Saccharomyces cerevisiae S288C: one gene and its partners. The gene in region 3 interacts genetically with the main gene of each other region. Each region holds a gene or a part of one and is shown on either strand. Other genes may lie near its edges.

Region 1 (7,485 bases), on a different chromosome or scaffold from region 3:
TTGGTATAACAGCGGTGGTAACTTGAAATGTATTGACGAGGAGTTTGTTAAAATGTGGGAAAATGTGCAATTACCGCAATTTGCAGAATTGCCAAGAAAGCTGCAAGATTTAGGTCTAAAGCCTGCTAGTGTCGATCCTGCTACTATCAAAAGACAAACAAAGAGAGTTGAAGTTAAAAAGAAGAGACAAAGAAAGGGTAAGATTACTAACACTCATATGACCGGTATCTTGAAAGATTATTCCCATAGAGTATGAGGTTGTTTTGATTAAATCATTTTCGTTTGCATATTAGGTTAAAGAGACTGTGATTATATATACATGCACGTTAGGGTGCAGCATACAACTCAGCTTTATAGTCTACAACGTATTTATAACGAGCATTGGAAACAGGTTACAGGACACCAAAGGGTTTGGGTTTCCAATTTTGAACCCTTGACCAATTTTTTACTGGTGTAGCTCTGTTCTCCTCTTGTTTATTTTTTTTACCTACTGTTCCGAAACTGCTCATTCTCTGTTTCAAAGACGCCAAATCGCCTAGTATATCATTGGTATCAGCCTTTAATGCCGGACTCACTTCCTTCTTCAATGGAACGGAATCTTTTTCCGCAGGAATAAAATCATACAGCTTTATTTCACCTTCATTAAACCTTAATGATAAATTGTCTATGTTTTCCTTCAGTTTTGCCTCGATTTCCACTGTGCTATCAATTTGTTTTCTCCGTTTTTTGTTTCTCCATGAGTTACCAGTAATTTTTTCAGTCTCTAGTTTGGCCAGCATAGATTGGCAAAAATACAATATCAAGTATGACGCATTTTCATCAATAAGTTTCTCCCAATTTTGCCATTTATTTTTAAAATTTTTATTGTTAAGGTTATTTATAATAACATCTAACAGCCTTTTTTGTAGTTCTTTCCAGGCATTGAATTTCCTTTTTAAAATTGTCGTTATATTACTATCATCTTGTTGGGTTCTGTAATTCCTAGCTACCCACTCAATGACCTTCCAATCAAAATTGTTCAAATTAAGCATTAAAACTTTGAGTAAAAGTGGGTCATAATTGTTAAAAAATTTCTCAAGAACCACATTGTGATAAATGGATAATTTCCAAAGTTCTTGCCATTGACGCAAATTTTCCCTGATCATAGTTTCTGATGAACTTGCGTGTGAACTTTTCCTCTTTTCGGCATCATAGTTCACCAAATTATCCCCAGAAAAGTTACTACTTGTAATTAAACTATCGTTTGCATTCTCCCACACCCATTTGTATTCCAGAAACTCGTTTCTAAGTCGCTTCCATTTATCAAGTGTTTTAGTTAATGACTCCATATATTTCTCCAGTTTATCATTTCTTCTGTATCCGTAACCGGTATCATCATCATCGTCATCATCATCCCTGTCATCTTCTAATTCCTCATCGTTCCAGTAGTGATCATATAGCCAAGATAACGCTTCATTGGCGGCCCAACGAAGCATTTCTAATCCAGGTAAATCTCTCTCATGTGTACCCCAGTGTCTCAAATCAACAAACCAGGACGGCAGTCCAATTTTAGCAGCTAATGTGTGTAAGGGAATAGCGAACTGAGATTGTTGCGTTGGATCCAATAAGCCATTGACAAACCGAATCAAAGCCATTACATACGATAACCGGATAGGAATAGAATCCTGATGTACTCCTAAACACGCTTCCTTTTCGTCTAGCAATACCGCACATGTTATTTGTGCTGTAGAGTCCACCACGTGAGGTAAATATTGGGAACCCTTTAGTCGGTAGCTCTGTACTCTTTGCACTGCACGCTGTCGCTTATCTTCAATGGTTCCTTTGCTTTTCGGGTAAAACCAAAGTTTCAGCTCCTCTAGTTCAGCAAAATCCCTCCATGGAACGATTCGTGGTGGTATCATTAGATTGCCCTTTTTTCATTGCTTTCTAGAAATGACTTTTGTTTAAGCTAATTTAGGCATTCTTAGGTATTTTTTTCACTCTTTCTGCGACTGCGATGAGCTTATTAATCTTTCACATTCGGGTAATTTTTTGCATAACAATAAGTCATGAATTTATTGTTGCGATTTTGCAGTGTTATGAGTCTATGAAGAGAAGAAAGAAACTAGAAACCAATTGATACCAGACTTTAGTTGACAACTGATCTCATAATGGGATATGACTCCCAAGTTAGGACAAAAAAACGACATCGAATTACTGTAGTATGCACAAATTGCAAAAAAAGGAAAAGTAAGTGCGATCGAACGAAACCATGTGGAACATGTGTACGACTGGGAGATGTGGACAGCTGTGTCTATCTCACCGATAGCTCTGGACAACCTGAAAGCAGTCCTTCATTGAATGATGCTGACCCTCTGAGGAAACAATCAACTCCTGCGGAACGAATAAGTCCAGGTTTCATTAAGAAAAGAAGATCGTCACAGACAAGACAAGACGAAGATCACTGGCAAAGAGTACGAGAACTTGAAAATCAATCATCACTTTATTATCTACCAATTCATGAAGAAACTCCATTTTTTATTGACCTCATCCCTAATGGGTTTTATTTAGAGACCAAAAGGTCTGCTGATAATTTATTTGGTCTGTTCACGGATAGAGCAATTGAAAATCGCGACCCCTATCTCCAAGCAATGGTAACATTTAGAAGTATCGCAATCAAAAAAATGATGGATAAATTGGGAAGCAACGGCAATAATGTGAAAAATGGAAGCTTGCCTAAATCTTTCGAAGCTTTATCCACTTTCGATGCTGATGACGAACGCCACATTAGCGATGATGTTGTTGGTAAGGGCAATAACTTCCGCATGCATCAGACTATTCACAAATCATTGTTTAACAAATTCGCTCAATACAGAGAAAATAATGCTAAAAAATTCAGCTCAGAAACTATATTAGCAAAGGATTATTTGCCTCCTTTAAAAATACTTGAAAGTGAGGTTTTAGCACTTTTTGAAGAAAAAATTTACAATATGATACCGATTTTCGATATGAAAGTTTTGCGTCATGAAATAACGATATTTTATCAAAATATAGTCGAGAAAGGGAATCCAATTTCTATAAAACACTACGATCATATGGTTTTCTGCATAATCTTGTTGATTATTAAAATATGCCGACTTTCTGTCCAGTTTTCGAAGCTAACTCCATATATATACCCGGTTCTTCAAGAAATTGATACCTCTAAGTTTTTGGCTCTTGTTAAACACTATTTGTTCGAGACGAAGGTCCTCAGAAAATGTAATTTATTACAGTTGCAATGTCTCATATTACTAAGGTTCTTGCACTGGTGTGCCCCTGAAGATGGCGATGGACCCGAAACTCAATATTGTCAAATCTTAATGGGGACAATAATATCATCATGTAAAGAAATGGGCATTAACTGGTATTGCTTCTCTCATCCAGAAAAATATTCATTTAAAATAAACCGACATACGAGGCCTTCATACGATATAATGAAACCTAGCGATTACATTTCAGTTTTCAGAAAGATATGGAGTTATGTTTTATTTTGGGACAGGAAGATGTGTTTTATTAGCGGTGAAGAATGTCAAATTGGGAAAACCTTGCAGTGCCATTTCAAAGAAGAAGCAGATACACCCACATGGTATATACGAATGTTAACCCTGGATAACTTGATGAAAAAGATAAACGATACGTTGAACGATGATCCAGGAAAGGTAGATTTGAACTTGTTGCACCGACTAATAAATGATTTAAAAAGAAACTTTCATATTTTAAAAAGCCTGTCGAAAAACGAAAAAGAAACAATGCGTCATTTTGATTTCGAAATGGAATGGATAATAGATTTATTCTCACTAAGTTTGCTGCACGGAGAAATGATCTTTTATGAATATGACTGCAATATTACAAAATTTTATAAGAGTTTCCAAGATTTGTGGGATATGGTCATTCATATCTCAGAGAAGTGCTACAATTACTTTTTTAACAGTGATGCCTTAGAGGTGGATTCATTGACAAAGTTTTATACCAATAGAATCGTGGAAATTGTCGCAAACAAAGTTTTGGTCATTGTTCCGGCATTCATTCTCAGAGGAGACCGCTTCAAAACAATTCAGTACGCCGACAAGAAGAAAATGATAGAATTTCTTTACGGGGTCTCGTCTGTGTATTTTAACGAATTTGGCTTTGAGTACTATCGTTGTTTTAGAAAAATGTTCACCGCTAAAATTGCCTACAAGATCTTGAATCGCTCATGTGAAAAAGATGCATGGAGAATTATTTTAAAATTTTTGCTGAATGAATTGAAACTAGAAGATAACGGTGATAGTTATATAGATTACAACGATATGAGATTAAATGACATCTGTCCAATAATACTAGAATTTCAGGAGACAGTACAAAAATATGATGGGTATAGGCCAGATATTCTAAGTATATGGAACAATGAGTTTTATCCCATAGGTAAATACAACGATGATATGACAGGATTTAAGTTTCAAATGCGCATAAAGGAAATGCAAGAATTCTTGGATATGGAGAAATATTCCGACAGGTTTAATATTTTTTCATCCTTTTATGATCACGCCAGTTCACAATTAGCTAAACATACTGAAGTTGATACCAACATAAGCATTACGAATGAACAAGTAGCTGAAATTCCGCAAAAAGAACTACTACAACAACCTTTAGCACCCGCTTTGCCTGTTAATGATTTAATTGTCTCAGAGTTTGACGTGATTGAAGATATTTTTGATCCTGTGGATTTCGTATCATTTTTTTAAAGTCAGAGATAAAAGAGACGTATAGGACATATACAATATTCATACCTTTCACTTCCTCCCTATTTCATTCGAATTATTTAGTAGCGTTATATATCGCACTACTTTATTCATATATGTATATATACAGAGTCTGAGAAGAAGGAAAAGATCACACGTTCAATCACAAAAATTCTTTGGCTTTCTTTGCGTAAGCGTGACAATCTCTTAACCATTGCTTATATTCCTTTAAGGAACCTATCTTTTCACCGTAATAATCTGGAACAGGATTACTGAAACTTTGAGAAGAGGCATCGACCCTGTTATTGATGATATGTTTTAGAAACTCTTTATTTTTGTTGTTGAACTGTGCCAATTGTTGGTTATGGGAAAGTTTGAAAACTTGCGAACCAACTATCGGACCCAACAAGTAGCCTAGTGCACCAGAGGCTATTATCCCAGCTGAAATTACAGTTAATGGGTCGAATCCGAATAGCATTTGAGTCGGGTCTATTTCCATTGTGGAAAGGTAAGCCCATGAAACGTTACAGCCCAAAAGAGCAGTAAACAGCGAAGAACCAACATTGATTCTACGCTGCTGTTTCCTCAATTTGAAAAAATCAGACCATGTCAAGATACTGGAGTCTTGAAGGGATGCGGGCTGAGAATATGATCTTAAGGGTAAGGTTGTAGCAGTCGAGCGCAATGCCGCAGCGGTGACAGAAGGTTGACTAGCGAACAGTCTTTGCGATGACAATCTAATGGCACTGGTAAACATTTTGAAGAGGCGGACAATGTTTTCTGAATGTTTTTAACACTTCTTTGAACATAGTTTCCCTTATGATATACCATTGTATGGCTTTCCATTTTTCATAGACGTACCGTACAAACGTATTAGATGATATTCAGAAAAAAGCATAAGCCTAAATAATAATAAATATAATAAATAGATAAATAATACGAAATATAACCAATAAATAATATCTTTCCTCAGTGACCTATAAACCTTGTTCCTCTAAAGTCTTGAAAATAAATGGACTGGGCGCGTCTTTAGGGAAAGTGATACCGTTCTCCAACAGTTTTTCAAAAGCTTTGGAAAAATCCTTGAAGAACTTGTCCTGGTCATTAGCGTATTCTTTCACAATGCTTAAGTACTTGGGATCCTGAATCAAAGAATAATCAGTGGGCAGCATCATGTAGCCGCTCTTAGAGTCCCACTGTTCGTTGTTCGCGTCGTTCTTTTCCAATTTCCAGTCTTCATTCAGCAAGTTCAAGTAAAACTCATTGGTAAAGACGTTGTTAGCGGCTCCCCATGGCCCTTCGTATCCAGAGTTCTTCAAGTGGGTCTTGCCCAGAGCGTGAGCCCCCATAAGAGCAACTACTTCTCTGTCATTCATATTAAGTCTTTGAAAAAATGTTCTGACATAGTCAGCGTCTTTATCAGCGTCAGGCAGTCTCCCGTTGTCAGGGGTAGTATCCTCTGGCGTGTCGACTCTACCACATCTCCATGGAATCTTGGGACCCTGCATTTCCTGCACGGCAGTGACACCCCCTAGACTGAACAGATCACCCGAGGAGATCCAGGGAAACTCTTTGTGAATGGGCTCCAGGAACTTGAAGCCATTCTGCAAGCCCGCATTGGATGGATCGTTAAACTCCTTTTTGAATCTGTATGTACCACCGTATGACCCGCCTGTATTGTCGTGCTTGTCCCAGGTCCCTGAAGTGTGCCAAGCAAGACGGACTAATACGGGCCCATAGCCTATATAGTTGTCATATTCGTCATCTTCCCTCAGCTTGAGTGCAATCGCATTGTACACCTTTTGGAAGTCCTCGTATGACCTCCCTTTTTCGACAGAGGCGACATGAACGAGCGGTGTAGTGGAAGCCAAAGCAGCTGCCTTCCCCCAGTTGTTCCATCCGTGGTTACTACCACCCCCGGGAGAAGACGATGATCTCTTTTGGGATTGCGAGTAAGCAAAAGTTGCAGCAGCAGCAGCAGCAGCAGCAGCGGAGAACAGGTAGAGAGACCTCTTATGGGCGGTTCTGCCCAGTGAAGGTAAAAGCCTAACAGCAGTAGTCATAATTGTAGATATACGTGTGTGTTTGCGTCTGCATGAATGCGAAATTCATGTTCTTGAGTTAGCGAGCGTGTACAATAGTCTCTGCTTAAGTACTTTTCGCTCCAGGGTCCTTTCCTAAATTGGTAACAGCCGGCTTGGGCCGGCCCCTGGATGCCAAGAGAGTCATATTACTCAGTACTCAGGACCAAATAACTCATCGCTGTCGTTGGTAAAGAAAACTACAAATCTGGGCCTGACCATGGTTTACGAAATTCCTGACAAAGCAGGATATTCTTTGGCTTTGGAATTTCCATTGGCGAGATCTAGCTGCGGGAGAAATCATCCCGACATTATGTAAGCTACATAGGTCGCTGAAGTGTAGTCGCCACACGGCAGCGCTAAATGATAACTAGTAATTGGTGTGGAGCGACCACATTTTCGCATCGATCCAAGCTCGTCTTTTGGCTTTCTTGGCTATTCTTACTAGTTATATTGAATTATTACAGCTCTTGCTGGAACACCAGTAACCCGCCGTTGCTCCGCATTTTCGAAGTAAATGGCTCACTTTGATTGTAAGGTTGAGAGGAGTAATAAAGAGGGGAGAGAAAAGAGGAGAGACCCTGAAGAAGTGGCAGCTTGAGTATAAGATAGTGTCTTTTCGTGCTTCGTCGCTAGAGCAAAATTCTACTTTCACATCTAATAAA
Region 2 (7,572 bases), on a different chromosome or scaffold from region 3:
TTGTCAAGGGAAGTATAATTAAAGAAAGCACTGATATACAGGTTGCTGGGTAGATATTAAGAAGCTCAACATAGACACGTTATGGACGGGCATAATCAGAACCAGTACCAGAATCAGAATCAAATTCAGCAGTCACAACAACCACCTCTGAAGAAATATGTGACACAGAGACGATCGGTAGACGTGAGTTCTCCGTATATTAACCTATATTACAACAGACGACATGGATTACCGAACCTAGTGGTAGAGCCAGAAACTTCATACACAATAGATATAATGCCGCCTAATGCCTACAGAGGTCGAGATCGAGTCATAAATTTGCCCAGCAAATTTACGCATTTAAGCTCGAATAAAGTGAAACATGTGATACCCGCCATCCAATGGACCCCAGAAGGCAGAAGACTTGTAGTAGCAACTTATAGCGGAGAATTTTCTCTATGGAACGCATCTTCGTTTACGTTTGAAACCCTCATGCAAGCACATGATTCGGCTGTGACTACAATGAAATATTCTCACGACAGTGATTGGATGATTAGTGGGGACGCAGATGGAATGATTAAGATATGGCAACCAAACTTTAGTATGGTTAAAGAAATTGATGCTGCACACACGGAAAGTATTAGGGATATGGCATTCAGTAGTAACGACTCGAAATTTGTTACCTGTTCAGATGATAATATCTTGAAGATTTGGAACTTCAGCAATGGCAAACAAGAAAGAGTATTATCGGGGCACCACTGGGACGTGAAAAGTTGTGATTGGCATCCCGAGATGGGGTTAATTGCCTCCGCATCTAAGGACAATTTAGTAAAACTGTGGGATCCGCGTTCCGGAAACTGCATATCATCAATTCTGAAGTTCAAACATACTGTCTTGAAGACGCGATTTCAACCCACCAAGGGAAATCTATTAATGGCGATTTCAAAAGATAAATCGTGTCGTGTGTTCGACATTAGATACAGTATGAAGGAACTAATGTGTGTAAGAGATGAAACGGATTATATGACACTAGAATGGCACCCAATAAATGAATCTATGTTCACTCTGGCGTGCTATGACGGCTCGCTAAAGCATTTTGATCTTTTACAAAATCTAAACGAACCTATTTTGACTATTCCATACGCCCATGATAAGTGTATCACCTCGTTATCATATAATCCAGTAGGACATATATTTGCCACAGCAGCTAAGGATAGAACCATAAGATTTTGGACTAGAGCGAGGCCAATTGATCCTAATGCATATGATGATCCAACTTATAACAATAAGAAGATAAATGGATGGTTTTTTGGCATCAATAACGACATCAATGCTGTGAGAGAGAAGAGTGAATTCGGTGCGGCCCCGCCACCACCAGCTACACTTGAACCACATGCGTTACCAAACATGAATGGATTCATCAACAAGAAACCGCGTCAAGAAATCCCAGGCATCGATTCAAACATCAAGAGTTCCACATTGCCAGGTTTAAGCATATAAAAGTGCGCTTTGACGAGATTTTAGGATACATAAATAAAAAGACTATATAACATATTATTTGTGATAATATCTCTCATTTCTGGGGAATGTACCCCACAGGCACCACTGTTTACTTTTGTCGCTGATATCTTCATAGAATTTTTCTTTATTCTTTGGGGTATTCTTCTCGGTGTAATATTCAATGAAAAATAAATATCGCCAGTTTCTATCATGTTCGTCCAAATGGAATGGTCTAGAGTTTATAGAACACATGTTGAGTGAATGGATTTTTAGTATGTTCAAAACATCTACCAAAGAACCAGGGTCATCTTGACGAGTAGTAAAGGTGAGTAGGTTAACCCGTAGTAATCCAGTGTCTTCTACTTCATTGTCGCCTGCGTTCTCCCTTCTCTTCAATACTAAAAATCTTGTTGTATTTCCTAGCTTATCATTTATCGAATGTTCAATGATGTACGCCTTATGCAATTGGGCAGCTGTTTCACTAGCAATGGCTAAATGCAGAATGTTGTCGCAATCGGCCGTTGATGACCGAATGCATTGGTTCACTGATTCAGATGTGGAAGAACAATCCAATCTTATAAAGGTGACCTGCGGAAATTTTTCTGCCATGGACCTTAAGTAACATTCAACCTGGCCCCATACTTGCGGATGTGAGTGTATTATGACTTCTTCAAAATTTCCAAGGGATGCAATACCATTTGGTAGTTGGATTGGGCTGATTAGACAATGGGTAATGGGTACATATTGCTCCGCTATAACTTCTATATCTGGTGTAATTCTATTAGTATCTGCTGGAGCAGGTAAGGATAGGGCTTTTTTGATCATCCTATCACGCAAGAGATCATAGGAAAAAACTACTTGTCCATTGGTGGAATTTTCCAACGGTACCACTGAATAATCTATACTAGTGTCGTTCTCCAATTGGTTAAAACATTGGGGGATAGAGGCTGCTGGGAGGTACTCAACATCAGATGTTGATTGAAATTGTTGTAATGCAGCTTGATGGGAATACGTACCTTTGGGACCCAGAAAAAGAACCCTCAAAGTCTTGCTGGCCATAATTGAAGGATGAATGCGGAAATATAATGAAGTTGCTTTTCGTACTTTTTTAGCCTGTTCTTTCTGCGTATTATATTCATCTACTAAAATTTTTATTTTCATTTTTCATTATGAAAATACAAGAGTCATGCTGATAACTGTGTAAAGAAACTGTACGCTTGTCGCAGATGATGTAGTACGTATTTTATTTACAGGTGTCATTAATATATATATATATATATATATACGTATACGGAAGTAATTCTTCGTTAATTTTCCATGGACTGTGATAGCGAAATCAATTTCTCGACGGTGAATCCCGGAGAGGCCTTAGAGAAATCTCTTAACAACTGCACTCTCTGTTTAGCAACTGGAGTTTCTTCACCCATTGCACCATAAAACCTTTGCACGTTTAGCAATAACAGCTGTGCATCCTGTACATTCACGTTTGTATCCGGTTCAACATGGCCATTCATAAAAACAATTCCCTTATCCTTGACCAAATCAGAATGGAACTGCAAGGTAGTATGTGGCCTTGCAAATTCCTGGTGTAGTTTGTATTCTGCTAGGGAAGTCATCATACAATGTGTTGTTTGGGGTCCGACAAACTGCCATTGGATGTAGTGTAGTTCCATTCCCTGTTCTTCGTTCGGTTTTGCATCCTCAGATTGAACTTGTCTAGGAAGTGGCAACACGAATATAGGGTTATTCCTGGCATTTGCCATCATCTTATCATAAACGGAGACAGGAATCACAGCGCATAATGTATTATCTTTTTGTGCCCATCTTGCTCTCCAAAGAAACTCTACTTCCTGTTTCGATAAGTCCTTCAGTTTTCCAACATCCAAAAAAGAGTCCAATGTTTTGAAGGGAACTTTAGGAGCACTTGGATCGAGAGGACTTCTTGATTTCGTCATCAAATGCTTGGAGTTGTTATTTTCCATTTGAGTTTTTTGTTGGTAATCCTCTAGTTCTTTCAGGGGGTCGATTTTATTAAATTCCCGCTTCTTAGACTCTATAGTCTCTTTCAAATGATTTTTCAACTCTTCTATGCTGTTAAAACCTTGTTTTTGAGCCTCTTCCAAAAGTTTCTTTCTATACTTCTGCTCTGGGCTGGAAGAATAAAAACGAAAAACAGGAACTGTTCCAATTGCCTTGTTAAAAATGGGCGACAGCTGATTAGAAATATGGATTCTAGTGCCGATTTTTCTGGTTAGTCTCCACATAGTTATTCTTAAATCTCTTTTGTTCTCTATTTTCAAGTCTTGATAAGTTCTTCACATCCTTCGATTACGGCGTCAAAATAAGCGTTATTTCCATTCGGGTGAGTTGAACCATTGATAACAACATGGTTTAACGATACTTTGAAAGGTTTAGGCGGAGCCAACCATAATGGATGAATCGGTGGATCCTGTGGAGCTGCTTCTACGACTACTGATACGGCACAAACCTCATCTGAAACCATATGCCTACAGACAAGATAGCTGGCAAAGGGTGCTCGATGAGTACAACAGACAGACTGGGTCAAGATATAGACAATCAAGGACGTTAAAAACCAAATTTCGTCGACTGAAGGACCTCTTCAGCGCAGATCGAGCCCAATTCTCTCCTTCCCAGTTGAAGCTGATGGGAGCACTCTTGGACGAAGCACCAGAACATCCAAGACCAAGAACTAAATTCGGAAATGAATCATCTTCATCCTTATCATCATCTTCTTTCATTAAAAGTCATCCGGGGCCTGATCCGTTTCAACAATTATCATCCGCTGAACATCCGAATAACCACAGCTCCGACGATGAGCATTCAGGCTCACAACCGCTGCCCCTGGATTCAATAACGATTGGAATTCCGCCTACTCTTCACACAATCCCCATGATTCTGTCTAAGGATAACGACGTCGGGAAAGTCATCAAAAGCCCTAAGATAAACAAGGGTACAAATAGGTTCAGCGAGACAGTACTGCCTCCACAAATGGCTGCTGAGCAATCGTGGTCGGACTCTAATATGGAATTGGAAATATGTCTAGATTATCTTCACAACGAACTCGAGGTGATAAAGAAAAGGCAAGAAGATTTTGAGTGTAAAGTTTTAAACAAGCTCAACATAATTGAGGCTCTCCTTTCACAGATGAGACCACCCAGCCAAGGAGATAAAATATAAAAACTTCTATTAGATATGCTTGATTCATGTCCATATGTATCTATTTATACAAACATTACGTAATATACACAGATTATACATGAAAGGTGCTCTTCATATTTGGCTTCTTGCTTCCACTAGCCTATCCCAACCAGGAGAGTCATCCCATCTGCCTTTGCCTTTACTCATTAGAGCTTTGATAGTAGATCTACATTTGTATTTCCAGTCTTTGCAAACCAGACTGCCTGGCCCATATTTACCTTCCATTTCACCAAGTGATTCATAGGCAGCCACCAAATCTTCACAAGCATCCACTGTATCATTCCAAACCTTTTCTTCAACTTCTAAATCAGGATTGTGAGAAATGGCCCTATAAGCCTTCTCGTGGCATTCTAGGGCGGCCCATGGTCTCTTCCTCCAAAGTTCTACTCTTGCGACCAGTCGCCAACATCTTGCACTGGTTGTAATTACCTGAGGTAAAGTGTTACAGATAAACTCAGTACAGCTCTTTTGAAAATAAGATAATTGCTGCGGCTCCTCTGGATATTCACTAGTCACTAATAGTTCTACTAGTTTTTCAATAATTGGTAAGTCGATGGAACCTTCGCCAGATTTGTCCCTCCTAATACTGACTAATTGTTTACATGCAGTTAAGACATCCTCCCACTCATTCAACTTAACAGCAACAAGCATGTAATTCTCCCAAATTTTCCAGTTCTTTTGAGCGTCACATGAAATGGCTCTTTTCAAACAACTATAAGCTTCTTTCAATTTATCCATTTTCGTATATGCAGCGCTCAAATTTGACCATGAAAGAGCATGATAAGGGTCTAATGAAACACATCTGGTAAATGCCTCCGCAGCTATCTGCATTTTACCACATTGTAATCCAACGCAACCATAAAAATACCACGTTTCAAAGCTTAATGGGTATTGCCTTAACGAGTCATTTAAATGTTTCAAGGTAGCAGAGTAATTTGGTTGTGCTCCAGACTTTGGAGGAGGATTAAAGTAATACTTTGCAAGGGAATTTTTTGCGTTGACGTATTTTCCAATCTCCCAACTTTTTTCCCATAGGGATGGATCCTGTTTTATATCACCCAAAATGGAGTAAGCCCTGGCATCCGAATCATTTTCATTTATTCTTTGAAGAAGGATTTCTTCTGCCTTTTTTTCATCTCCAACAGCGGCATAACATAATGCAGTCTCGCATGCCATACCAAGTCTTTCATAAATTTCCACAGCGGACTTCAAAATACCCAGCGACATATATTTTTCAGCTAAGGTGGCATCCAATTGCCACCTAGGGATGAACGGCAGCTGGTGGATGTATGACAGCCTGCTAGCAACATTGATTTCGCTTGAACTTGGAACCAATTTACTCTTAATCTTCAAATCCAATTCTTCTACGAGGGATTGCATTTGTAAAAGTCCTCTTTCAATAGTTTTAGCCTTTGTTGTCTCAATAATTGACCTTTCCCATAATGATCGGGCGAAAATAGACCAATTTTTGTCACCGTTTTGATATAATATTCTAGAAAGCAAAGCAGTAAGTTCTTCTTCCACAAGAGGATCCTTGGCCGGAGTTGTGTTCTTTATGGTGTAAAGACGTAACAGCAACTGGATGTTGTCGTAATCAGATAGGGTAGGTTGATCGTTAGGGTTCAAATCCAGCAACAACTTTGGAATATTTTCTTGACGTAGTGCCAATGGCAATAGTTTATCTTCTTCATAACCTTCATTTAGGTCTACCTTTTGTCTTTTACTATAAATTTGCTCGTCTAGAGGTTCATCAGCAATGGACTCAAAATGAGGCTTCTCCAATAATAGATCGGACTCTAAAGCAAATGTTTCTGGTGTAGCAGATGTCGTTCTCAAAGCAAAATTTTGAAATGTGAAGGATTTGGCAAGAATGATCAAACCGGCATGAGCCTTTTGCTGATATTTAGTTCTAGTAGCGCGTGCACCCGTCATTACAAATTCAAAATTTGTTATCTTTTTCGCTCTGGTCAAGGATGGCAGGCACAAATGTTCTGTGTTGATGGCCAATGAACATTTGACATTCTCTAGATAGTACATTGCACAAAGTTCTCTTTTGAAATCTTCGTGAATACTCTCCGGTAATTCCTTAGTTATCGCATATGCAAGGTCAGCAGACTGATATATTGCAGATGCAACACTAGCTTGGAACCCAGAAGGTTCTGGAATCAGTGACAATTGCGTCAAAAGAGCTCTTGCCCACCACCAATAAGCTACAGCTAATAATCCAGGAGTAGACTCAGCAGAGATAATAGGTAGCGGAATTTCTTGATCCGGGGTAACATCAAATAAGCTTTTTTGGCCGGTTATCCTTTCAAGTAATAATAGTGATAAAACCAAATACAATGGATCATCCATAAATTCGTAGGCAGGCTGGCCCATAATGGCTAATGAGCGGGAAAGGGCTGTATTAACTGCTCCTATTTCAATTCCAGTTTTGCCAAACAAACCTGAGATTGCTTTCAACCTAGCTGCTGGGCCGGTGTAGTTATTTTGAATAAAGGTCTGTAAGAGGGCAATAGCCAAAAATAGCATCTCATTTTCTTGGCCCATTTTGAAAACCTCAACGTTAAGAAAGTCATTTAGAGCAGCAATAACACTAGATGTGGATATTTCTCCCGAAATACTAATTTTTCCCTTAAATTTGTCCACAAATTGCTGTACTAGCTGGTATGATTCACCACTGATGATATGTTCAGCCTTTTTCACATATGTCTGGTCGAAAGAACCACTTTTCAGAGATTCTACTTCTGCAGACAGCAATAATTTTGCATGCAATAACGTCTCCATAATTTTGCAACCACTAGTTTACTTTTTGCCTGGTCTGATAGCTTCTTTTTAGCAATTCCTTTGGCCTCGATGAGCTTCCATTTTCAA
Region 3 (6,959 bases):
GCAACATAAAGCAATGCAGCAGCCGCTGGCTACCAATTGTTTGGTTGCTACTTCAAACGTTCCTGTGCACTCTGGAATGGACGATAGTAATAAGAGTGACGATGATGTCGATGACGAAACTAATATTCACTTTGATAGTATGTGGTGCAATGACGAATACATGAAATTAAAGGATATAGTAGATATTTCAACGCCGTTTTTACCGAATAACTCCCAGATATTTTCCCTCCAAGAATCAGAATATCCCAATCCTAGCGCATCTACACGGGGAAATTCGTCATTGCATTTAACGAACCTTTTAAACTCGACAAAAAGCGTGAATGACCAAAAGGACTCCTCGATCGGCCATTCCACTTCTACTTTCAATACATATGATGAAGTAGTGTCTAGGCCCTTTATATCTTTAGACATGCTGCATTTGAATCGTGGAGCAAACGCTAATACACACCCATCACATAACGCCAAACTGGAAAGCGAATGTGACAGTTCTAGTCACTCCGATGCAGATCTGGAGAAACATGATACCGATTTCATATCACCTTCAAAGTTTCGTGAATTAGTAAAGACTCCTCAAGACCTATATGACAATAAATGTTTAATAAAACCGCATAATTACAAGCTCGCATACACCAAACTGCTAACTACTTTAAGAAAAAAATTTCTTGAAGGAGCTGAAATTGATAAATCTGCCTCAGTAAAAGACGAACACAGTACCCAAAAGCATAATTTGAGATATGATTTAGAAGTTATAATACGCTCTATACTAGAAAGATATGCTCCAATTTTCATTTCGTTAACATCCAATATGATTGAAGAGGATTTGCTATTACAGGAAGTTACCTTGCAAAGGGCTTTATTAGATTTGGAGAACATGGCAAAATTAGTAAGCTGCACACCGATGTGCATCTGGAGAAGATCAGGCGAGATTTGTTTTGTCAGTAACGAATTCTATTCTTTAACAGGTTTTAACAAAAATTTACTATTAGACCGCACCTCCTTTATTTTTGAATATCTGGATCATAAAAGCGTTTCGAATTACTTTCAAATATTTAACGAATTGCTGGCATTTGGTTACAATGATATCAATAAAAGGAAAAAACTATTGATGTTGAACGCATGTTCTTCTACCTCGTCAAAAATTACAGAAGGGTTTTCTTTTACTACGGATGGAAAAGCAATCTTTACTAAGTGCAATTTATTATTAAGTAACGGTCTTTATTTGAAGTGTGCCTGTTGTTGGACAGTAAAAAGGGACTCGTTTAATATCCCAATTCTCGTAATGGGACAATTTTTACCAATTTTTGAAATGGACTGATCACTATTTTTTGGGCTTATTACTGATTACAGTTTTTATATGCATTCTGTCCGTTTCTTTGATTTTATCGCTTATTTTTTACTTAGGTTGGCAATTCAGTATTCTTTAGCGTTTCTTTTTTTTATTTTACTTTCCGTATCAACAATAATATTTATATTTATGTACAGTTTTACATTGTAATTTAGTTTCTCAGGAATTCGTCAAAAATGTAAAATCATCCATTGAAAACCTTCTTCCCTGAAGAATTTTAAGCATAACTTTATATTTTTAAACAAGGTGGATCTAGAAACTTTGTATTAATTACAAGAATTTATAATATTATTCGGGAGCAACAATATGGATTTCTTGCCAGTAAAACCCTACCTATTACTTCCCTCTTTATTATTAGCCGGGTCACACTAAATTGAAAAATTTGTTCTTTCCTGTTTTTGGAGCAACAGAAAAGTATAAATAGAGCTAGTGTTGTCCGATTGGCAAAAACTTCTTCCCTTTGTTACTTCTTCTTTAAAATTCAAATTTTTCTTTTGATTTTTTTTCAAAAGGCTAACATCAGTAGTGGTTAATACTATCTTTAGATAATATTAATTTCATTATACCATAGAAACCTAAAGATTAGGTTATTTTCGTTCTTCATGTTATGGAGTGTGAGTGATGAGGAGCTTGCTCTTTTAAGCTCATATTACGTAATAAGTTAATACTGGAGCGAGAATAATTTAAATCATTTCATCATAACCCATAGCTGAATGAACTTTGACTACTCCTAAACAAAGTAGTAACAATTTTCATTTCGTTTCCGGTTTCTTAGATCGAATATTATTCTGAGGAAATTCCCTGATTACATATCAGGGAAAGGTTCGCGTTTTTAGAGAATTGCGTAATGCGATTTGAAAGTTTAAATTCCTAAGCGACTCTTCTTCATGATAAGACAGTTTATATTTTGTATACTTTCTCATTCCCATAATTTGTAGTGCCTACGGGGATGGACTTGTCTTGGTACCAACTGACGGTACGTTCTGATGCTGCCTTGCTTGTGCTCCAACATTTTTTTTTTAATTTCATTTTCGTGTACGGTGCGTATATCGAGATGGCATCTGAGTATATTTACTTTGGTACATATACTAATATTAACTAAATACAAGGATGGTGGTTGAAGATTCCTAACGTACAGGAAGCAACCAACTAGGAAAATATATGCACTGCTGCATGCTTTCGATAACACTTGTGACGTAATGATGGAGGCTTCCTTGACTACTGATTGCTGCTTGCACTATTATCTGCACCAGATGAATTTGTTGAATTCGGAGGAGGTTTCGCTGTTGAAGCGTCCCCTGCTTTCGCCTTCGCATTTTTTTCTCTCTGAGCCAGTTCCCATTTTAACCTTTCTGCTGCTCGATAAACTTTGCTCTGTAAGTAGAAGCTTCCACCTTTTTCTTTATCGTTAACCTCAAATAGATAGTTAAACCTGTTATTAATCTTGTCCATGTTTAAATCGCCCTTGGATTCTTCAATATTTAAAATTTTACAACTCTCATCCAACGTAATACCACCATATTCGCCTTTTCCTGTTCCCCTTCTAGATGCATTTGTAGCACCTTGTTTCACTGATTGTGAAGCCGCTTGTCTATACGCCTCGGCGAATGCTTTTCCAAAAACTTGAGTTCCTGTGATTATAACCTGTATGAAAGCCCTGTGAGCCATATTTTATATCCAACAAGTCTATGTTTTTCTTATGCTCAAGTCACGAAGCTGTTGCCAAATTTATAGTCAGCTGAAATATGTGAATCGGATGCAAATGAGTTATAAGTTGAAGCTTCAAAATTTGCTACGTGAAAAATGATAAACGATGATGAAGTAAATAAATATCGTAAAACGAAAAACTCTCTTTTAAAAAATTCATATGTAGGAATTTCATTTGATAAGAACCTCACTCTTCATATCAAATAAGTCATTAACCTGCCATGAAATGAATTATGGAAACAATGCAGCTTTTTGAAAGGAAAAGTGCGGTGGATTTTAACGTTAAGGATCCTCTCAACTAATGATTGATGCTTAATCGTGGCATCTATAAATAAAGCATGAATTGTTCTCTATAGTTACAAAGTGGTGATTTATTATAAAAGTGTTTTGATATTCACGCTTTCAACATTAAAGCTAAAAACAAAAGAAAAAAAATGAAGACCAATGCGAAAAAAAATACCAAGATTGAAGTTTTGGAAGAAAAATTATGATGATAAAATTAAGCTTTCAAAAAAGATTAAAATGAATACTATTAATTTTAAAATTTCGTTTATGGCTTACAGTTGTGCATTATTGTATTAAAGTAAGATTTATTAGATAGGGATTCCTTCGTATTCCTCATGAATTCTTCAGAAAAGTTTTTGATTTTAGTTATTGGACAATTATGGCCCAAGTACCCACATGCACAATCACAATTTGTTAAAATAGTCTTTATTGACCCCATCAACCAGAACTTGTCGGGATCCGGTAGGGAATCCAAATCTTTAGATGCATTTATTATCTCCCAAATAGGATTTCTCAAATCCCATTGCCATTCTACGCTTATCTCTTCTCCCTTACGAATATCTCTTATAGCCCTTAAAACAAATTTAACTCTACAATCATTATCTCCTCTTGGTTTTTCGTCAAGCGGTCTTACCGTTACTAGTTCCACATTGGGCTCACAACTCCGTCTTATGTATCTTGTTAATCCGCCTGTTTCTCGAGAGTCTATATATAAAGGCCAATGTGGATGAAAAAGTACTTTAGGTTTTGTCGTTCCCATCAAACGATAGTCATTATTTGGATCTGTCTGATAATTTTTTTGAAAATCAATTTTGCCCAAATATTCTTGAATTAGCTCACCTTTAACACAAGAATCTGCAGCGAAGACTCCAAAATCTCTTTCATTTGATGATTTTCTTACCTCGATGTCAGCTGACCTTGAGCTTTCCCAGTTAGAACAAACAACCCAATCGTCATCATAATGGTTATCAATAAACATCTTAACATATTTGTCCTTATACTCTGATATTGTTATTGCTTTGAATTCCGTGTCATTGGAAGAACTTACCTCATTCAGTAGTGGCTTCAGAAAGTGGCTTGATACTACCAGTTTTTCTTGCCTCAATTTTTTCCGTATACTATTGCTATTTTCAGTTGTTGGGGCGGTATAATGAAGTTGACGTTTCTTGGGCTGTTCCTCTATGTTATTCACAGACTGTTGATGCTGATTTGTGTTCGATGCTGAAGTTGTCACTATGGATGAAAATTGAAATAATCGCTCATCTCCCATTTTTCTAGGGAATATCATTGGTTTTACTTGATTAACCTGCACTTTCGTATCACTGTCACATCTTTTGCAAACAAAATCTCTTTTTATTGGATCTGATTTTTTGAAAGCATAACATAACTTGTGCTGCCACGTTTTACATTTGTTACACTGTATAAACAACTCATCCTTGGAGTCACTTGAACCGCAGATGCAACCATTTTTAGGTTTGTTATCTTCTGCTCTCATGGAGGGTGTAATTTTATTTTCTTTCGATGATTCATTGTGTGTTACCGAGACCTTGGAATTATCATCTTGATTCTGTTTTTTCAGTGGAAATGGTATGGTGGCAGCAGTTGCCAATGCTACTGCTGCTGCTATTCCTCTTTTATTTGTTGATGCCGTTTTTGATGAGCCTGATGAAGAATGATGGTTGAAAATGCCCCTGTCATTTTGAAATAAATGTAAAGGCGTTGGGCCAGCTGTAGGCATTGTATTGAATGTCCTTATCGGCATATACTGAGGTGAGGGTAATGTCTCTGAAGCTGCACTGCTGACGGACAAGGGTGTGTGATCGCCGTAATCTTTAGACATTGAACTATTAGATGAGTACGACGACGACCGCGATATGACCTTGTCTGTGGTTGTGTATGTCCTTCCTTGCCTGATATGACGAGAAGATAGTGATTCCGGTGAAGTCATTTTGAAGATGAAGCGGTATTTGTAACTTTCTGACGAGGGTACCAATCTTATTCCGGCGTTCCACGCTGAAATTATCTATGCTTTTGTCTTAAAGAGAAGCAAACAAGTAATTTGAATCAGATATATTTCCCTCCTTTCCTTTTCAATAAAAAGTGATGAGATGGCCTATTGATATCAAGCTATGAATAGGGTAGCCACCTTTTATACAAAGTTTCTTAGATGTGTATAGCCGTGCAATACCAAAATCGAGGTTCCTTATATACTTCCTAGTACTATCCAAGAACAATAATAAGGTTTCCTGAAGGAAAAAGAGGTGGTTATTGATCACCAGAAAGTTTGGCATTAAAAACAAACGACAGCACAAAGGAACTTTCACCCTACAGCACCTTCTGTGTGCATGATTACATGTACCCGAGTAGCGAAAAAAGCCAGAAAATGTGCAAGAATAAAGGTATCTCAATGAACGAGCTCGAGCGTCAAGAGACGGGTATAAGCGAAGAAGCGCAATGCCGCCAGCCAAGCAAAGCCAAACGAAGAGATCGACCTTCCATGGGGTCGCAACTTTTCCCGGTGACCTCTACATGTGTGATTGTTAGTTCAGCGTAACAGAGTTTCAACAACATGCATATACGAGTGTGCCTTCGTGCCTGATTTTGGTTGATTATCCGGCTTCCAACCTCGTTAAATTTTCATAAAGTGCATATCGTGTAATGTAAAAAGTAAAAAGATAAAAAAGACTCATATGAAATCTTGCTGCATGGAGACAAGTGCACTCGAATTCTTTACTTATATTTTCGCTCTTGAGCTCGTCCTTTTACTAGCATATCAATATCCGTTTCATTGAAAAGTGGCCTTAGAAACGCGGACACATTAGTCTCGTATGTCGGCTCTCGCCTACTTCTTGCCTATTGTTTCAGTGCCTTTAAACCTTATTTCCCTTCCCTCGCGTGCCATTCGGCGATCTCGATTTTCCGCAAGGGGCCTCAAACGACCGACATCAAAAACCAAAACAAAGGCCAAGCACATCGTTTAGAGAAGAAATTTTGGGGGTAATATGTTTTAACGATGCCATATATGCACCAACTTCTAGGGGAAAGAATGCTTTTGACTATCTCTCCTTCCTTGCATATAGGCCAGATTTTTCCTTGGATTGTGCTGTATTACTATTGGCTCCAAGGAACCTCACAGTGAGCTTTTCCAAACCGAAAGATTTCTCTTGCGATTTCTTCGTATGCAGTAATAGGGTTTTTTGAGAATATACCGGGCATAATGTTGCAGTTATCAACTATCGCACATACAGTAGTAACAGTTCTGGTTGTCCTAGCATTAATGCCGTTTTAATTTTCTGCAGAGTATTGCCTGTGGACAACAGTAACTTATACGAATAAACATACCAAGTTAGGATCTGAGCCGGGTAACCGAACACAAAGATCTCGTTCTACTTTTTTTGACCTCTTGATGAGTTGCTTAACAAAATCAGTAGCCGCCAAGAGCAAGAAATCATAAAATGTTCAAGAAAAACAAACATAAAAATATATTGGAGGGGAATAAACGCAAAGTAATGTCTAATAAGTTAAATTAAAGCCATCGAAAAAGCACTGTATTAATAGAGCAGTAGCTATTTAGGTGAATGCATAGTAATATAATATATATGCGAACATATGTATGTCTATG
Region 4 (8,344 bases), on a different chromosome or scaffold from region 3:
CGCTAAAAACCCAGATCGCAAAATATATCAGCTTATTACCACCTGTATTCAGTAAAATCACACTGGGTACTGCAAATATACCTGACCCCATTATCCTCGAAACAAATAACACAACCGTGGAGAACACACCTAAATGTCTTCCCTGTGGAACTTCCATGAATCTTGCCGTCTCTGCCTTTATCGCCTGCGCTTCCACAGTATCCATCGAACTGAATGATCCAGTATTTGTGGAACCATATTTTGTGGTAATATCACCAACTTCCACATCTATGAAAACATCTTGAGAGGGATTTGCTTTCCCACTATTAAAAAGCAGCGGTTCCATTTTTACTTATTTTGAGCACTGTACGTCTACGTTGCCCTCAGCAACTTAGACTACAAACAGAATGTACAGATCATCGATAAGCATCCAGGTCTTTATATGTGTATTGTTTTTGCCCCTTGACTCAGGCAGGCCTCTAATCTATATGATTGATTTGTCATATATATGCAGCGACGCCACAGTTTTTTCCGGCAAGAGTCGCGTGATCTTTTTTTCTAATCCAATCTGTGAACATACTAGAGGAAACTTCTACCTTTTCTACCTGAATTACATTATCAACACTTTTGCACCAAAAAATCGTGGTACTAGGAGATGCAAACCTTTTGGTCTCCACATCAATTGCAGGAAAAAGATTGACTGTTTGCATGTGCAATTATCTTATATATTATGTAAAAATAAAAGTAGGAAACGCCACATGGATGCGCATGCCATAACCCTTGCATGGTTAGCACACGCCCTCACGTGAGTGAATTTGCCAAAATGATAGTCAAATGTGTTGATAGTTCGATAAGAGGTGAAGTTGGGGAACTAAAGGTGGAATAGAAAATGATAAAACAAAGGAAAGAGTGAAGATTGCCGCCGAGTAGAATCCAAGATTGGTGTGTATGGGTGTATTTAGTGAAAGTTCAATTGCATTGAAGATGACAAATTATGCTTAAGTGAATGGACAATGAAGGCTTCTCTTGAAGGAGTAAGGCTGCGCTGAAGGAAAGGTTTGAGACAGAGTGACCAAAATGGTGAATTGGCAAACATTGTTCATGGTCTCATTGAGGAGACAGGGCAGTTCCTCTCGTTACAGGTATAAGTTCAACATGGAGAATATCACACATCAGGTGTTCCCTCGCTGTAAGCAAGCGTTTAAGAAGACAAACTTATCTTATGAATATTGTGATCTTGAAGGAGTACTGTATAATATTTCACTCACGGACTTGCAAAAACTGCTATTACGTGATATAAACGCCCCTCGCGAACACGCATTCAAGATTGTTAGAACAGATCTAACTCAAAAATCCTCGAAGAAGAGGATCCAACACTGGGAACGGATTGCGCCTATGTTTGACCACCCCTTAAGTCTCTACGAGAAGTTGTTCAGCGAAATGGATGAGGACTTCAAGCCATCTTTCGAGTGGCAACAATTAATAAGGGTACGATGCAAAGATGATAAGTTGAAACTGCAGCGTGTAATTTGGCCTAAGTCGATATTTTCAAACTTTTGTCGGGGAATCGGGGTTAAGAAGAGCACTTACGATAGACTCTTGGAACAAAATAATGGTGAGGTACCCATGTTTGTAAACCCAGCTAATGCAAAGCCCTTGCCTCTTTTCCAGGTTTCCGATGAGGCGATGATTGGGGAATTCGATGGAATTGGTATTTTCCCTTACTTTGTAGATAAACATAGAGAATTTTTCGTTACTGAGGTAGACAAATTGAAGACCAAGATAGCTTCGCCACTTTGCACCTTGAATGAACGAAAGCGCATTGAGAAGGCTAACGCTGGTCGGATACTGGCGAACGAAGAGGGTAAACCATTCTATCTGGATGCAAACAGTGCCACAACTCGAATCGCTGGTGGTAATGTCGTCACTTTGAAGCAACTTTTAGAAAGATCGGTTAGCCATAAGACATTGTGGAGCAAACAATCAAACAAAGACAGAACGTGCCCTGGAGACATTTTAAGAGCTACAATATTATCAAACGACTTCTCCATCCGGCAATTGAGGGCTGAATTTTGCAAAAATTTCATTCTCTACAATATATTCACCATTTTACAACGTAACAAGAAAAGCATCCGTTCCTTCTCTGGTAACGATAATGCGCCTTCCTTTCAATTTAGTTGGAATGTTTGGGACTCATATATATGGAAGCAATATCAAGAGACCGAGTCCATGAAAATACCCACGGACCAAGCTTCTCTGATCAACTACAAGACAAAATACGACTCTTTTCTTCATGACCTACAAACATATTCCGCACTGGTAATTTCAGAAATGAAATGGAACCAATTCTCTATTTTCCAAAATGATGAAACGACTTTATCAAGATTTGAACACATCACATTAATTTTGCAAACCGTGCTGACAAAATCGAAAATGATTAGAATTTTCCAGCCAAACTTGTACAAGTTTATGCAAGATGATTTAAGACCAACTTTAATGGAGTTGGTGGGTTTCACTGAGTCAATAAATGCAACAATAGAACCTGGTTTTGCGAATGAACAATCGCTACAATCTGCAAACGGATTAAAGAAATTGGCCAACCAACTTTTATACTTCGAACAGGAAATATATGGCGAAAAGTTCCGCGTAAATAGGCCCATCCAGCTTCGTCCAATAACATTATCAGCAAACTACAAAATTGTTATTCTGGATAAGAAGAACGCCATACCCGAAATATTTCAAACCCTACTGAAATTCATGACACAAATAACGACATATTTTGTTAAAGATTTGTCGGAGGTAGAACTTCATGGGCACATGCATTGTATTGATAAAAAAATGCTGGACAAGTCGAAATTCATGTATTTATACGAAGAGAAAAGCAACGAGGAAGTGAAAGCAGCTTCTCCTCAAAAGGAGAAGATAGTAGATAATATCATTGGCCTATTATCAAATGATGAAGAACATTAACATGAATTGGAAAAAGAAAAAATTGCATGTAAATATATACATACGTAGAATTTTATACTTAGGCTACAGATCAAAGCTAAATCTGTAAGTCGTATGCCTTCTTCATTAGAAATATAGGCTCTTTATTTGATTTCCTGATCCAAACCAATCTATCAATCGCAGTATCTGCCACAATGAACTGTCTTATGCCCCAATCACCGACACTATAAATTTCTGGAATTCTCTCCGATAAATTAGGGAAGTATTTTTTATAGAACGGCAAAAACTCCATAACATCTTCTTTTTCAATGACAATTGAATCACTAACTTCTTTGAAGGTTTGTTTAATGAAACCTCCCTGATTATTACTTTTATCGTTGATTAATTTGACTATCCAGAGCAACAATGCGTCATTAAGACAGTCTTTTGTGATCAAATCTTCGTAATTTATAGCACCAAATACCAGTAAGAGAGAATTGGCAAATATTTTGTCGTTTTTAAAAATTGTCTTGAATGACAGAGAAAACTCCTTATTATTGCTATATATTTTTTTTTGTAAAACGGACAATTTCTCAGTAGTGGCGTTCAGAATTTTTTTGTTATCTTGATAGTATAGTTTGATTAGTTTAATAACATGAGGGCGTAATTTTTGAGTCGAAGAAGTTTTAATTTTAAAATTCTTATAAAACAGCAATCTCTGGGATACTACAGATGTTAATTGATCAATACCTTCCAATACGCTCCTTACGGTTGGAGTTTCTTCAGACTTTAATTTACTTAGGTAGGCAAATAACGCTAGTAGAACCGGTGGTAATGGTTCAGAAATTTTTAAACTAAATTGTAAAATGGTAGTTTCTCCATCGTCAGTAACAAAATTACCTGATTTGTTAAAATCCACGGGCAAACCGCTAACTAAGGTGGATGGTAGCTTTAAAGTCAACCTAGAGAAGTCAAACTTATTCGAGGAATCCCAAAACCCGTAGTTTAACAAACATTTTTCATTAGAAATATTACCATAATTATTAAACAATTCATCCTGTGCACTAAATGTGGTAGTCTGCGACATGAAACAAAGTTCATTTTGTTCATTCATCTCCCATCTTACTGGTACATCGTTTTTATGGTTTAATAAATCTACTATTGGATACAAAAATCCTTCGTTCAGATTGGTGCGGTCTGTACCGGCCCTGCCTAAAATGACACGAGGAAATGCCCTAGAATTAAAGATGCAGTACGACCAAAGATACGCCACGAACGAGTTCCATTCCGAATCTTCTAGTTTACATCCATTGATGTGTGCGCAGAACTGTTCCAACGGCACTACGGCAGAGTCTTTATTCTCCTGGAATAAAGACAAGAACTGCTTATCTTGAGAAGAGTGTTCAATAGATAAAGCTTGGAACAGCATCCTCCACTCCTTTACTAGTTTGTTCAGCGTATCTCTCATAGTTAAGTACACGTCTGTACCATGCAAATTCATGACTTCATCAGTAGACCAAAAATATGGTTGTGGAAGGTGCAAGGGTAGCACATCTAAATATGGTTTGTAAAAGGATTTCAGGTGAACTGCATCGGTGCCAAATTTCAACTTTGACAAGTACAACTGTGTCACGGAATTCAAAAGACTCCTTTCATTAGCAGCCTGGGAAAATTCTGATAAAGCTTGCTGGGAAGTGATCAGCAGAGTTTCGGGTACCCTAATCAAAGCTTGGTCGGGTTTGGGAGAGAATTTTTCGTTTACAAATGCACTAACACCAGCATCCTCTGTAATCCTAAAAGAGATTTTCGGATCGATGAAGGCTCCATTATTTTGAGCCCATTGTAAGCAGTTATCTAGCTCAGTTTGGGTGATCATGCAGAAGTTCGTTAATTAAATGACGAGGTAGCTTCACCAAGCTTGATTCCTTAGTCTTTTTTACTTCCATCATTTCTTCTTTGTTGGAATGGTCAAGTTCAAGTTGAAAAATTTTCTTTTTCATAGTCAACTCATCGCAGGCACATTCGCCTTGAACGAACAACGAGCAGGACTCCAATAGAATAATAGTAATAGATTACAGGCCTATACAATCAAGACAACTATCAAGGTGGGGAGGGTTTCCACCTGTAACTTCCGCTGACTAATGATACATATTATCTGATCGGAAGCCAATGAAAGATCCCCTAAATATCACGCATGTAAGCGACCGCGATGAAGCGTACTGGCAGCTCTATCACGAAGCGATGGAAAAATACACCTGCGAATGAAAATCCATCAACAGAAATGAGAAGACAATTGTATATTATCATTAACGTTCATCTTTAGGACTTGTTCTCTTACGAAATTTGTGTGCCTGTATTTGTTAGAAAGCCACATATGTCTTGGCCTTTTTCACTTCTTTCCTGTTTGGGATTGCAAATTTATCAAAATGCACCCATAAAAGCAGGTGTGATATAACAAGCACATATCGTTAGGAAAATAGTGTCAAAGAGAAAAAAAGGCCAAGCAAATCGGAGTACAGTTTACATGAAGTAATGCAAGATGCATAGAACTGAAGATTTCAGGAATAATTGTATATAGGGGAGGAAACATTCGATAGCTCTCTTTTTGCTTTCGTTCACTATATCTCTTGTTTTCTTTCTTAAAAATATATGGACAGTAGTTCAAGCCACTGCATAGCAACGTACTAATGGAGTCTGTTCACTCTCGCGATCCTGTTAAGGAGGAAAAGAAACATGTCTTCATGGGAATGGAACACGAGTTGAATCCTGAGACTCATAACGATTCCAACTCCGACTCATATGGTCTCCCTCAGTTATCTGAAAAATACAATGCCTTGAGACAGAACAGGAGCCTAATTATCCAGCAGACTGAAATCATTGGCTCTGCTTACAATAAATGGTACTTACAAGCGATTTTACTTTTGAGTGCTTTCATATGTGGCTACGGTTATGGACTGGACGGTAACATCCGTTATATTTACACTGGTTACGCCACATCATCCTATAGTGAGCATTCTCTGCTGTCTACAATCAACGTCATTAATGCTGTGGTCAGTGCCGCTTCGCAAATCATATACGCTAGGTTGTCTGATGTGTTTGGTAGACTATACCTTTTCATTAGTGCTGTCATCCTATATGTTGTGGGTACAATTATTCAATCACAAGCTTATGATGTTCAAAGATACGCTGCAGGTGCCATTTTCTACAATGCTGGCTATGTGGGTGTAATCCTTATTCTTTTGATTATCCTATCCGATTTTTCATCTTTAAAGTGGAGACTGCTGTATCAATTTGTCCCGACTTGGCCTTTTATCATCAACACATGGATTGCTGGTAATATCACTTCCAGAGCCAATCCTGTTGTCAACTGGTCTTGGGATGTAGGTATGTGGGCTTTCATCTTTCCCCTATCATGTGTTCCAATCGTTTTGTGTATGTTGCACATGCAATGGAGGGCCAGAAAGACTCCTGAATGGCACGCTTTGAAGGGCCAGAAGTCCTATTATCAAGAACATGGTTTTATTAAGATCTTAAAGCAATTATTTTGGATGTTAGATGTCGTTGGTGTCCTTTTGATGGGTTGTTCCCTAGGTTGTATCTTGGTCCCACTGACCTTGGCTGGTGGGGTCAAAACTACCTGGAATGATTCAAGATTGATCGGCCCCTTTGTTCTTGGCTTTGTTTTGATCCCTATCTTATGGATTTGGGAATATCGATTCGCTAGAGATCCAATTCTTCCATATAGGCTGGTCAAAGATAGGGCTGTATGGTCTTCTATGGGTATTTCTTTCCTGATTGATTTTATTTACTATATGGCCGCTGATTATTTGTACACGGTTATGATTGTTGCCGTCAATGAATCCGTTAAATCTGCAACCAGAATTGCCACATTATCTTCATTTGTCTCTACTGTGGCCTCTCCATTTTTCGCTTTACTTGTAACAAGATGTACGAGATTGAAACCATTCATAATGTTTGGATGCGCGCTATGGATGGTGGCTATGGGTTTATTGTACCACTTTAGAGGTGGAAGTCAGTCCCATTCAGGTATTATTGGTGCATTATGTGTCTGGGGTGTGGGCACTACTTTGTTCACTTACCCAGTTACCGTCTCTGTACAATCTGCCGTCTCTCATGAAAACATGGCGACAGTTACAGCTTTAAACTATACCCTCTATAGAATTGGTTCTGCTGTCGGTTCCGCAGTTTCCGGTGCCATTTGGACTCAGACTTTGTACAAACAAATTTTGAAGAGAATGGGTGATGTTGCTCTAGCCACAACTGCCTACGAATCTCCATATACTTTCATTGAAACCTATACTTGGGGTACCCCACAAAGGAATGCCTTAATGAACGCTTACAAATACGTTCAAAGATTGGAAACTATCGTGGCTTTAGTATTTTGTGTTCCATTAATTGCATTCTCCTTATGTCTAAGGGATCCTAAATTGACTGATACTGTTGCTGTGGAATACATCGAGGATGGCGAATATGTCGACACGAAAGACAATGATCCAATTTTGGATTGGTTTGAAAAACTTCCATCAAAATTCACTTTTAAACGGGAATAAGTTGATGTTTACGTTGCATGATTGCTTGATATCACTTTCCATGACTATATTGCCCAAAATATACGGTGTCACCTCCTACTTTTTCCTCTCTACAAGACTCTACCATTCTAATGATCATAACCAAGAAAAGAAAAGATCAGAAATGTCTAGTTCTTTGCATATTCCTTTTACCATAACAGTATATGCATATCTACATGTATAGTGCGGCACTACTTAATATTACGTAACAGAGTAATATCTTTACTTCTTTTGTTCTGCCTGTTTATAACATCGATTGGCCAGTTGTCTCAGCACTTGCTTCATAACAAGTGAAAAATTAGAGGCGTTGAATAATTATGTACCTTGACTTTGAAGTCGGTTATCATAAGTGCTTCGAGAAGAGATATAAAGACAAGATAAAGTGTTATGTCAACTATGGTGAAAAAGGAAGGGAAGACAGGCGGTCGCTGAATCTTAAATCCACTCGCCTTTTTTTCTTTGTTTTTCCTTGGCAAGCCTATCCTTCCAGTCGGCTAAGCCCCATTCCATTCAGCTTGTAAAGAGATAGTATGATTTACTTGTAGTCTGGGATGACAAGAGTAGAATACTCGCAGTGATCACGGTTTGCTGCGTGTGTTCACTAATTATGATGTAATCACCGAGCAAACGCATCAATGCTTTCGAAAAAGAAAAAAAAGTAGCTAAATGTAGACAAGGTTGAACCATAAACGGTATTCACATTGGCTGACGTCGCGCTTTCCTTATTTGTAAAACAGAGAAAAGGGCTGATAATACGCTAAACGAAGGCAAGAAAATATCCTGTAATAGAAGTAATTTACATCGTTTAACATGAATGGCGAGGCGTAACCATCACGTCACTGGCACCT

What was found.
Region 1: mutations in PAM16 (region 3) and PAM17 are lethal when combined (synthetic lethality), as found in Saccharomyces cerevisiae (3 studies listed by BioGRID, with this or other methods).
Region 2: mutations in PAM16 (region 3) and ATP11 impair growth when combined (synthetic growth defect), as found in Saccharomyces cerevisiae (2 studies listed by BioGRID, with this or other methods).
Region 4: mutations in PAM16 (region 3) and EFM1 impair growth when combined (synthetic growth defect), as found in Saccharomyces cerevisiae (2 studies listed by BioGRID, with this or other methods).

What each region holds. Positions count from the first base shown.
Region 1 is NC_001143.9:560,397-567,881, forward strand, and holds PAM17 (Pam17p), read right to left. Parts: upstream 5,497-7,485; coding exon 4,903-5,496; downstream 1-4,902. Other genes in the region: transcription factor TFIIE subunit TFA2, read left to right, coding at 1-256; rRNA-processing protein LAS1, read right to left, coding at 393-1,901; OAF3 (Oaf3p), read left to right, coding at 2,151-4,742; CCP1 (cytochrome-c peroxidase), read right to left, coding at 5,717-6,802. UniProt on the Saccharomyces cerevisiae protein: Component of the PAM complex, a complex required for the translocation of transit peptide-containing proteins from the inner membrane into the mitochondrial matrix in an ATP-dependent manner.
Region 2 is NC_001146.8:40,538-48,109, forward strand, and holds ATP11 (Atp11p), read right to left. Parts: upstream 3,744-7,572; coding exon 2,787-3,743; downstream 1-2,786. Other genes in the region: cleavage polyadenylation factor subunit PFS2, read left to right, coding at 82-1,479; prephenate dehydratase PHA2, read right to left, coding at 1,534-2,538; DAL82 (Dal82p), read left to right, coding at 3,910-4,677; tetratricopeptide repeat-containing protein EMW1, read right to left, coding at 4,771-7,485.
Region 3 is NC_001142.9:223,381-230,339, reverse strand, and holds PAM16 (import motor complex subunit PAM16), read right to left. Parts: upstream 3,014-6,959; coding exon 2,564-3,013; downstream 1-2,563. Other genes in the region: GSM1 (Gsm1p), read left to right, coding at 1-1,315; SET4 (Set4p), read right to left, coding at 3,603-5,285. UniProt on the Saccharomyces cerevisiae protein: Essential component of the PAM complex, a complex required for the translocation of transit peptide-containing proteins from the inner membrane into the mitochondrial matrix in an ATP-dependent manner.
Region 4 is NC_001140.6:18,222-26,565, reverse strand, and holds EFM1 (protein-lysine N-methyltransferase), read right to left. Parts: upstream 4,784-8,344; coding exon 3,026-4,783; downstream 1-3,025. Other genes in the region: MUP3 (Mup3p), read right to left, coding at 1-325; YHL037C (uncharacterized protein), read left to right, coding at 387-788; CBP2 (Cbp2p), read left to right, coding at 1,057-2,949; ARN1 (siderophore transporter), read left to right, coding at 5,595-7,478. UniProt on the Saccharomyces cerevisiae protein: S-adenosyl-L-methionine-dependent protein-lysine N-methyltransferase that monomethylates elongation factor 1-alpha (TEF1/TEF2) at 'Lys-30'.